Linked DNA regions of Xenopus tropicalis. The protein of the gene in region 1 interacts with the protein of each later gene in a biochemical or structural test. Links are inferred from orthologs where the notes say so. Each region holds a gene or a part of one and is shown in the gene's direction. Other genes may lie near its edges.

The links. The genes of interacting proteins can lie anywhere in the genome.
Region 2: the proteins of fyb1 (region 1) and skap1 form a complex in vitro, tested with the Homo sapiens proteins (2 studies listed by BioGRID and IntAct, with this or other methods). The link is inferred for Xenopus tropicalis from reciprocal best matches to the Homo sapiens genes FYB1 and SKAP1.
Region 3: the proteins of fyb1 (region 1) and fyn form a complex in vitro, tested with the Homo sapiens proteins (2 studies listed by BioGRID and IntAct). The link is inferred for Xenopus tropicalis from reciprocal best matches to the Homo sapiens genes FYB1 and FYN.

What each region holds. Positions count from the first base shown.
Region 1 is NC_030677.2:196,904,996-196,909,256, forward strand, and holds the start of fyb1 (FYN-binding protein 1), read left to right. Parts: upstream 1-1,452; 5' UTR 1,453-1,738; coding exon 1,739-1,741; intron 1,742-4,261. UniProt on the Homo sapiens protein: Acts as an adapter protein of the FYN and LCP2 signaling cascades in T-cells. May play a role in linking T-cell signaling to remodeling of the actin cytoskeleton. Modulates the expression of IL2. Involved in platelet activation.
Region 2 is NC_030686.2:11,938,039-11,941,556, reverse strand, and holds part of skap1 (src kinase-associated phosphoprotein 1), read left to right. Parts: intron 1-2,759; coding exon 2,760-2,865; intron 2,866-3,518. UniProt on the Homo sapiens protein: Positively regulates T-cell receptor signaling by enhancing the MAP kinase pathway. Required for optimal conjugation between T-cells and antigen-presenting cells by promoting the clustering of integrin ITGAL on the surface of T-cells.
Region 3 is NC_030681.2:76,824,427-76,827,944, forward strand, and holds part of fyn (tyrosine-protein kinase Fyn), read left to right. Parts: intron 1-841; coding exon 842-1,006; intron 1,007-1,345; coding exon of another isoform or gene 1,346-1,501; intron 1,502-3,051; coding exon 3,052-3,231; intron 3,232-3,518. UniProt on the Homo sapiens protein: Non-receptor tyrosine-protein kinase that plays a role in many biological processes including regulation of cell growth and survival, cell adhesion, integrin-mediated signaling, cytoskeletal remodeling, cell motility, immune response and axon guidance.

The sequences.
Region 1 (4,261 bases):
CTTGCTTTGGTAAACCCCCTCTGATAAATGCCACTGTTTGCAAATAAACAACTGCTTCATTTCCAGCAACTATTGTCTGACACACTCATGCACTGGTGATTGCACCTCTACCAACACATCCAAGAAACTGATCTGTTGCTCATTTACCTCGGCCTTTTGTCCTGGGAACTGGGAGAAGAAAGCATATGGGCCTCATCTGTGTCAATCAAAATGTGAGCCTTTACAGAATCCATATAACTAACAATGATGAAACTGTAGGCAGATATATTGCCTATGTCTGTGTTGTGGTGCTAAAGGCCATTCGGCTTGTATGGGCAATGCTATTTAATGCAGGAAACTGCACAGTGTCTCTTGATGCCCGTTCCAATCTCCTTATCAGTTCTCCTATACTTTATGGACCTCCCCTTCACCTTGTTGCTCCATTTTCTTTGTTGTCATTCCCAAAGAAGATCACCATGCATGTTCTATCAAGGGACAAGGCATACAGTCTCCTGACAGTTGAACCCTGTATGTAAAGGTATCTAAGCTACCCACTGGGCAGAGGATGGATGGGGGGCATATAACCTATATTAAAGGCAAACTCAACCCAAACACAGCTTTTTGCAAACTAAACTTAATTTCAAGCAGCCTTTGCAATATACATACATTAAAAAATACGCAGACATGGTTGTTAATGTATAAATATGGTTTGGAACAGTTCCCTAAGCCCCACCCCCTGTTGCCCTGCTGATCTGGCTGACTACTTTGAGACTCAAATAAAATGCAACAGTAGTCGCCTGTCCTCAGCCTGCCTTCAGCCTGCATCCTCCCAATCCCACAATTCCCTGCACGTGATGTCAATAAGGAAAGGAACATCTCAGTGCAATGCATTGTGGGTTGTGTAGTTCCTGCATGCTGTCTGTAAGCTGTGGAGGAGTTGTTACAATTTGTAACTTCAATGCTTTAGTCCCTCCTCCCCTGCCAGGATTTGAGATGATGCAGAAAGAAAAGAACTGTTTTGCAGCTCGATTTCAGCATATAAAAATTTTATTTATTCATACTTTCTGAAGGAATAGGTTACAGTAATAGGGATATTAGGGGTTTCTGTGTTGTATGAGGCTTTTTAACAAATTTTGGTTTGGAGGCCGGAGTTCCAGTTCAACTGTTGCTGGAATAATAACTAAAAAAGTTAAAATATGTTATAAAAGGGGGTTACTGTGCACAATGTAAAATATATGTCAGCATTTACTTCCTTTTATTGTTGTAATGGTTTCCTATGAAGAAATGGAACATTTAATTCACTTAGTGGAGAGAGAAGTAAGGCCTCAGATGTATCATGAAGTCTATTATCCAGATTCTCTCTTCTCCAGGAGCGGTAAAGTCCAACTGAATGATGTTACTGAGAATGCTGGGAGTATTAGTTCACAGCCGGGGAGCTGGGTTTTTTACATTTTTCTTTTAGAGGAAGAAACACTTTCGAAAGCAGAAGAAATGAGAGAAGAATCAGTGTCAGTAGGTGGCTGGGACTGGGCACTTCTATGGGTCACGTTGAGATGTCGGTGCGGCTCATAAATCTGATGGGGAAAGAAAGTATATCCCTGTGCTTGTTTCTGTGTAAGTGGATATGAGGAGTGATATGAGCTGTATGATAACATTCTATAATCTACACAAAAGGGGAAGTCGCTTCATGCAAAGGATAATAATTAAGCCCTGTGACTCTGCACTTTGCTACATGCAACATCGGTGTTGGCGTTAAAAAATGGTGAGTTCTTGCACAATTTTCTTTTTTTAGCCCTAAAATTGCTACAAAGCTGCCAGTGGGGTTATATTTCTGCTGAATGTTGTGCTTCTAGGGAAACTGTACAGCATAGCGCAGAGCGGGCAGGGACTGGCACCTAGAGCTGCACAGTTTCCCCACTGAATTATTTCTTCCCAAGTGCAGCTATTCATGCCTTTTATTGTCAGATTGTCAGACTGATAACTCCTAGTAGGATTCTGTGAGATGAAAGGGTTTGTCTGATTTATTGGGGCTGTTGTGTCCTAAATGATGGGGACTTTAGATTGACATTTAGTCATTTGGAACAGAAACATTATATGGTACCTAGGATTCCTCTTAGCAACCAGGCGGTGGTTTGAATGAGAGACTGTATATGCTTAGCAGGTCAGCGGGTGTGAACAGAAAGACAAATCATATAAAATATTAGTAGTAGTACAGGTATGGGACCCTTTATCCAGAATGCTTGGGGTCTTTCCGTACTTTGGATCTCCATATCTTTAGTCTAGTAAAATATCATTTTAACATTAAATAAACCCAATAGGATTTTTGGCATTCAGTATAGATGGGATCAGGTACAGGTACTGTTTTATTATTACAGAGAAAAGGGAATAATTTAACCATTAAATAAACCCAATAGGGCTGTTCTGCCCCCAATAAGGGGTAATTATATCTTAGTTGGGATCAAGTACAGGTACTGTTTTATTATTACAGAGAAAAGGGAATCATTTAACCATGAAATAAACCCAATAGGGCTGTTCTGCCCCCAATAAGGGGTAATTATATCTTAGTTGGGATCAAGTACAGGTACTGTTTTATTATTACAGAGAAAAGGGAATCATTTAACCATGAAATAAACCCAATAGGGCTGTTCTGCCCCCAATAAGGGGTAATTATATCTTAGTTGGGATCAAGTACAGGTACTGTTTTATTATTACAGAGAAAAGGGAATCATTTAACCAATAAATAAACCCAATAGGACTGTTCTGCCCCCAATAAGGGGTAATTATATCTTAGTTGGGATCAAGTACAGGTACTGTTTTATTATTACAGAGAAAAGGGAATCATTTAACCATTAAATAAACCCAATAGGGCTGTTCTGCCCCCAATAAGGGGTAATTATATCTTAGTTGGGATCAAGTACAGGTACTGTTTTATTATTACAGAGAAAAGGGAATCATTTAACCATTAAATAAACCCAATAGGGCTGTTCTGCCCCCAATAAGGGGTAATTATATCTTAGTTGGGATCAAGTACAGGTACTGTTTTATTATTACAGAGAAAAGGGAATCATTTAACCATGAAATAAACCCAATAGGGCTGTTCTGCCCCCAATAAGGGGTAATTATATCTTAGTTGGGATCAAGTACAGGTACTGTTTTATTATTACAGAGAAAAAGGGAATCAATTTTAAAAATTTGAATAGTTTGATTAAATGGACTCTATGGGAGACGGCCTTCCTCTAATTCAGAGCTTTGTGGATAACGTGTTTCAGGATAAAAGATCTCATACCTGTAGTTATTTTTAAATAATAATAAATCTTCTGTCAGGATCAAAATCTTTAATATATTATATTGATATGTTTTTTCTCACATGCATGTAGAATGCAATAGGTAAATGCATATAAACTAGATATATAATTCATTGCCATATAGTTTGCAGCCAACAGATTTTGGCTAAAGCCGGCCATACACAGGAGTTCTTTCATACAATTATTGGTACATGTAAAGGGGTTCATCACTTCCAGCCGATATCCAACTCTGTGCATATTGGTTTAAAGATGGAACACATTTGAAGATGTCATTGGTTGATAAACCATTTTTTGGTATAAGGTTGGCTTCTTGTCCCGTGTTCAATCTATAAATGTCAGTGGGTGTAACCAGGGTCAGACACAGTCAGTATAGGGGGGGGGGGGGGGGCATTGTGCTGAAATTGTGAAAGAGCCCACTAGTCATTGACCCAACAACATATACATTTGCCCTCTGTACACTGTATTCTTTAAATAAAAGAAAATTAATGGGTTGTTTACATGAGTGCCCTCGTGTTATTGCGCCAGATATATATCCAGCCCCGGATGGAAATGTATTTAGGGACAGAAACTTCTGCTTAAACTGTAAGCTGTATGATACATATGTAATCTGCATTCTTTTGGGAGACAGGTTTCCATGAGCTATATGCTTATCAGAAAAATGAAAGTGATTTAGTATTCTTATATGGCTTTATCTTATAGCTGCATGTCAGAGTCCACTTAATGTGTTACTGGCAAAGTGCTATTCCACTTATTTTAACTGCCACAATACACATCTTCTAATGTTATTACTGTATGTTTTCTCAGAGTTTATTATCCCCCTGCTATCCCACAGCCACATTCCCTTCCCAGAGGTTATTATCCCCCCACTGCTACTATAGGCACCATCTCTCCCTACTATACCTGCTATCCCACAGCCCCAGTCCCTTCCCAGAGGCTATTATCCCCCCACTGCTACTATAGGCACCATCTCTCCCTAC
Region 2 (3,518 bases), on another chromosome or scaffold:
TTTGCAGTGGGAAGTCTGTGTTGGCCCTAGAGTGATGCAGCCGCCAGTTTGCAGGGAAACGGTCACACATGGCGTTTTCATCTATGTTTCCCTGCTGTGGATTTTTGTGCCATCTTCTGCATGGCAAACAGAAGTAAAATGCTAGAATTTATATGTACAAATAACCATAAATCCACTGAAAATTACGTGTGGATTTTTGTGTGTTCAACTACATGGCAATGAATGAGTTAAAGCGGTCTGCCACCCAAATGGCCAATTGCATAATGAAAGAAAATATAATTCTAAGCTGCTTTCCAGTATATATTCATTAAAGATTTTTATTGATTCTCAAGTTATTATAAATTGTTGTTGAAAGCAACACCTGTCTGGCTGCTTATATTTTCTGCACTGCTGAATATGACTCCCGGAACAGTAGTGTGTATGTATATATGTATATATATGTGTATATACAGTGGAGGAAATAATTATTTGACCCCTCACTGATTTTGTAAGTTTGTCCAATGACAAAGAAATGAAAAGTCTCAGAACAGGATAATTTCAATGGTAGGTTTATTTTAACAGTGGCAGATAGCACATCAAAAGGAAAATCGAAAAAATAACTTTAAATAAAAGATAGCAACTGATTTGCATTTCATTGAGTGAAATAAGTTTTTGAACCCCTACCAACCATTAAGAGTTCTGGCTCCCACAGAGTGGTTAGACACTTCTACTCAATTAGTCAACCTCATTAAGGACACCTGTCTTAACTAGTCACCTGTATAAAAGACACCTGTCCACAGAATCAATCAATCAAGCAGACTCCAAACTCTCCAACATGGGAAAGACCAAAGAGCTGTCCAAGGATGTCAGAGACAAAATTGTAGACCTGCACAAGGCTGGAATGGGCTACAAAACCATTAGCAAGAAGCTGGGAGAGAAGGTGACAACTGTTGGTGCGATTGTTCGAAAATGGAAGGAGCACAAAATGACCATCAATCGACCTCACTCTGGGGCTCCACGCAAGATCTCACCTCGTGGGGTGTCAATGATTCTGGGAAAGGTGAAAAAGCATCCTAGAACTACACGGGAGGAGTTAGTTAATGACCTCAAATTAGCAGGGACCACAGTCACCAAGAAAACCATTGGAAACACATTACACCGCAATGGATTAAAATCCTGCAGGGCTCGCAAGGTCCCCCTGCTCAAGAAGGCACATGTGCAGGCCCGTCTGAAGTTTGCCAATGAACACCTGAATGATTCTGTGAGTGACTGGGAGAAGGTGCTGTGGTCTGATGAGACCAAAATAGAGCTCTTTGGCATTAACTCAACTCGCTGTGTTTGGAGGAAGAAAAATGCTGCCTATGACCCCCAAAACACCGTCCCCACCGTCAAGCATGGGGGTGGAAACATTTTGCTTTGGGGGTGTTTTTCTCATTTTCGCATTAACGGGAAAATGGACGGAGCCATGTATCGTGAAATCCTGAACGACAACCTCCTTCCCTCTGCCAGGAAACTGAAAATGGGTCGTGGATGGGTGTTCCAGCACGACAATGACCCAAAACATACAGCAAAGGCAACAAAGGAGTGGCTCAAGAAGAAGCACATTAAGGTCATGGAGTGGCCTAGTCAGTCTCCGGACCTTAATCCAATAGAAAACCTATGGAGGGAGCTCAAGCTCAGAGTTGCACAGAGACAGCCTCGAAACCTTAGGGATTTACAGATGATCTGCAAAGAGGAGTGGGACCAACATTCCTCCTAAAATGTGCGCAAACTTGGTCATCAATTACAAGAAACGTTTGGCCTCTGTGCTTGCAAACAAGGGTTTTTCCACTAAGTATTAAGTCTTTTTTTGTTAGAGGGTTCAAAAACTTATTTCACTCAATGAAATGCAAATCAGTTGCTATCTTTTATTTAAAGTTATTTTTTCGATTTTCCTTTTGATGTGCTATCTGCCACTGTTAAAATAAACCTACCATTGAAATTATACTGTTCTGAGACTTTTCATTTCTTTGTCATTGGACAAACTTACAAAATCAGTGAGGGGTCAAATAATTATTTCCTCCACTGTATGTATATATATGTGTATATATGTATATATATGTATATATATGTATGTGTATATATATATATATACAGGTATGGGATCCCTTATCCGGAAACCTGTTATCCAGAAAGCTCCAAATTATGGAAAGCCCGTCTCCCATAGACTCCATTTTAATCAAATAATTCAGAATTTTAAAACTGATTTACTTTTTCTCTGTAATAATAAAACAGTGCCTTGTACATTATCCTAACATATAAATAATCCTTACTGGATGCAAAACAATCCTATTGTATTTAATCAATGTTTTTTTTATTTGTTAGTAGACTTAAGGTATGGAGATCCAAATTACGGAAAGACCCCTTATCCGGGATACCTTTGGTCCCGTGCATTCTGGATAAGGGGTCCTATACCTGTATATGTGTATATATATATATAAACTGTAACAGCTAGCAGCATAGGGTTAAAATGTTATTTATAACATATGTTTATATCACTCACACGATCATAGTGCATAGACACATACAGTAACAGGCATTTCTAAGAAGTTGGGAAAAAATAGGTTGTATGATGCATCATTTTAGTTAAACTTTTCATGTTGCTTTTTTGTTCTTTTTGGTACAAAAGCCAAACCCATTTGTGCAGAATACAGGATGTCAATAGATGTCATGCAGCTGCCAGGAAGTGACAAAGGTACTATGGGAAAACTCAAAACACGTTATTTTTTTTTGCCTTTCAGATGCAGAGACTTACTTAGCTGAGTGCTTGCAGAATGAAAAGCTGAGCGGCAGGGCAAGAGAGCAAAGGGATGAGATCCTGCACAGCTTCGGGCAAATCCGAAACAGGTCTGCTTTACTGTTGGGCGACTGCCAATAGATGCTAGAGATGCTTTAGATATTATCTATATCCAACATTCTAGGGACTACACAGTTCCTTGCAAAAGGGTTCATCCATCTGACTAGATCTCTCCATTTAAAAGAACAGTAACACCAAAAATGAAAGGGTTTTAAAGTAATTAAAATATAATATACTGTTGCCCTACACTGGTAACAGTTATGTGTTTGCTTCAGGAACACCTCTATAGTTTATATAAACAAGCTGCTGTGTAGCCACGAGGGAAGCCATTTAACCCAATGTAACCCGTGCCATTTAGCCCTACATGCATTTGAATGGCTGCCCCCGGGGCTACACAGCAGCTTATTTATATAAACTATAGTAGTGTTCCTGAAGCAAACACACAACTTTTACCACTGCAGGACAGCAGTACATTATAGTTTAATTACTGTGATACACTTTCATTTTTTACTGTTAATGTTCCTATAAAAAAAAAGTTCTATGCTGAAACAGAGATCTCCATGATCTTTTTAAGTACAAAGAACTGAAACTCAGATTTATTTATTTTTTGTGGCTTTGCTTTAGAAAAAAAGAATATGTGCATGCCACCATTTGCTGTGTGAAAAAAATTTGTGTGCAAAAAACATAATTTAGTACTTATTCT
Region 3 (3,518 bases), on another chromosome or scaffold:
TCTGGTAGTTGTTTAGGACCCCAAGATTTTTGGTGGAAACTCCTGATCAGCTCTCACTTATGTATGAATATAAAATAGAGGAGCAAAGTTCTGACTGCTAAGTTAGTTTTCCTTCAGTAACCAAACTCCATTGGAACAATGTGACTACAGCCATATTTGTTTTTGGAGTAAGGATATAATTGAGTAATTACTAAATTCAGTATTAATTTAGAATTTGCCATTGCTTAAAAAAATACTAGACATAATCTGCACAGTGCTTCCTTAAAAGTGAGTGTATTTCTAGGAATGAGGATGCAATTGGTTTTGTCTCCAGCACCTTCCTCAAAACATGGGTAACATCTTTATTGTTGAGAGGACAAAATACTTGGCTTTGAGAACTTTAAGCATATCTTTCACTCTTTTCTTTCTGCTTAACCCTGCAAGTGCTGTCTGCCACCTTAATAAAATGTCATATTGCTTCTGTTGTTGATATTATAGATCAGCGACATTATTTTAAAATTACAAATCCAAGAATGATTAATAGTCAATAGAGGCACCTTTCTTATTGTGCTAATTCGTGATCCCAACCAACCAGGCAGAACAATTGTCTTATCACAGACAGAAGCAAAAATTCAACAGATCATTCAATTGTATCTGACATATCTCTAATGCAAAACCACTGAGCCTTACAGGATGCTAAAGGGTTCCTCTCCACCCTTTTGTGAAATTGGCTCCGACTTTAAATATGCTCAGTTCTGCTTGTATGTGCTTTATCTTTTCTTTAGTGATGCTTAATCTTGCTTCATGTTTTCGTTTCAATTTTTTCCTGTCTTTTCTGCCTTCTTCTTTCAACTCTCATCAGAGAGAGCTGCAGGTCTTTGTTGCCGCTTGGTAGTACCATGTCATAAAGGAATGCCAAGACTTACAGACCTGTCTGTCAAAACCAAAGATGTTTGGGAAATACCAAGAGAATCACTCCAGTTGATCAAGAGACTGGGGAATGGGCAGTTTGGGGAAGTATGGATGGGTACGCAGTGAATATATTTTTATAAATCTAATAACCTGCTCTTGTGTGGAGCAATATGAGGAAAGATGGAAAGTGGGTGCAAACAAGAAGCAGGAAGTTTGTGATGTAGGTATTAATCCATGAAAACCACAATCCCCTTTCTTTAGCCTCCAGTGTGACCTGTTGAGGACTTTACTATGGCCAGAATATTAGAAGTTTTAAAAATATATAAAAACTGAGTTGTCTACTATAATGTGGCGTTGATAAATACTTTACACCAATCACCTTCCATCTTTCTTATTGCATGCTGTGGTTTGACATAAATGTATTTTGTTTTTTTATTAATTCCTTTTCCTATAGAGAAAGCTGATGGTTTGTGTTTTAATTTAACTCTGATTGCACCGAATTATACTCCACAAACTGTTGGACTGGCTAAGGATGCATGGGAGGTTGCACGGAATACAATATCTTTGGAGCAGAAGCTTGGTCAGGGCTGTTTCGCTGAAGTGTGGTTTGGTAAGGTGGACAATATTTCATGCTTAGGAGAAAACATTCTACTTTTTAAACAATATTATCTCTAAAAAAGTCACTTAGCATCAATGGCAAAGAGAAATTGTGCCAGAGATTATTAATCTCCAGGTTTCCACATAGGCTACAGTAGAGAATTTATGAAATTATTAAGTATAAAACATAGGGGCAGATTTATCAAAATGTGAGTTTAGAGCTTAATACATACAAACTCACCCACATTCTATTAATTCCTATGGGATTTTTAGATACTTATTCATCAATGGGTGAAAGTTAGAACCCACCGTTTGATAAATACATTTCTACAAATCCCATAGGAATGAACTGAACATGGGTGAGTTTTTATGTATTAAGCTCTAAACTCGCATTTTGATAAATCTGCCACATAAGGTGTTTATTATATTGACAATGGTGCATTATTAAATGGTAAGGTTATAGAAAACCATTAGTCCATCAAGTTTGGCATATCTTTTCATATATTTATATAATGGAGAGGTGTCTGTCTATATAACCATCTGTCATTATCTATGACACAAAGTTAGCAGTGAATTTCATTGATTCCAATCTGCTGTCTGGTTATCTAGCTAGCCATGGCAACCCAACAGTAGAACAGAAAACTGTGAATATAAAATAACAAAAATTAAAAATTAAGGCTACTTAAAAGCTGGCTTAGAATAATACTGTGTGCATCATATTAAAAGTTAATTTTAGGGTGAACAGACCCTTTCAGTATGTGTGTTTCATAAATTCCGTTAAATTTAACTGCAGACTGACAAATGGAAGGTGTCACTATAAATAACAGAAATCCATGCCTGAAACTAGGGGTACAGAGAATGTACATACTACATACATACATACATACATATAAGCATATATACACACTTCAGCAGAATTTGTTGGTGGTCAGATCCAAAAAGCTATGGATTCAGTGCATCCCTAAATAAAACCTAGCCACGGTTTCTGTATTCCTCTGTGATTGTGACCTTTACCATTGTGATTGTAGCATGTAATTACAATCCAAAACCAATTATCCTATTAACACTTTATTTCCACACTAACTTTCCTTTCTGAATGTAGTTTTAAATTTGCATTAACATTGGAAATAGGTGAGATTTTAGTGTGAGAATATTGTTTTTTTCTTTTCTTGGTGGGTGGGCTTTTTATTGCATGCAGCTTGCTTTTAAAGTGCATGAGTATTTGTGATTGCATGCCAAGCTCTGTGTGGGAAAGGAGGGGTCCATGCCAATGGTTATGAATTCATACCAGCAGGCCTTTAAAGTGGCAATAAATATCAAATAATTGGAAACACAGCTATCATTAAGTTTATTTTATTTAGTATATGCATCCTGTGGCATTGCTACAAAGGTAACAGGAGCTGCCTGTTAAAGGGCAAATATACCCCCACACAATTTCTTTATAGATTTTGCATAGCACTGGAGAATTGCCACCCTAGAGCCAATGGCATGGGTCCCTTCTTCCGTTCCTTCTAAATGCTAGCTGATGCTAATGTGCATATTCTTGGGTATGTTGTGTTGCAGGTACATGGAATGGAAACACAAAGGTGGCGATAAAGACACTGAAGCCAGGCACCATGTCTCCAGAATCTTTCTTAGAAGAAGCACAGATCATGAAGAAACTGAAGCATGATAAGCTTGTGCAGCTCTATGCTGTAGTGTCTGAGGAGCCCATTTATATTGTCACCGAGTACATGAGCAAAGGTCAGGATTCTAAAAGTCTCTTCTTAGATATAATACTTATTAATTAGTAAATTATGATCATATGATGTCAGACTGACATTACTGAAACACACAGATTGTATTGAACACATAATACCCATGACACCCCAGTTATTTCAACTGAACAAATACTTCCACTAAGCCTGCTTTATCTGTATCTTTAATGTTGTATGGTTAGAGATGACAATTTCTCCAGAGACCCAAATTTAAAGATAAGATGTAGAAGCAAAGTGAAATAACTGCCTCTTTAAAGCCCCCAGGAAGCCCCT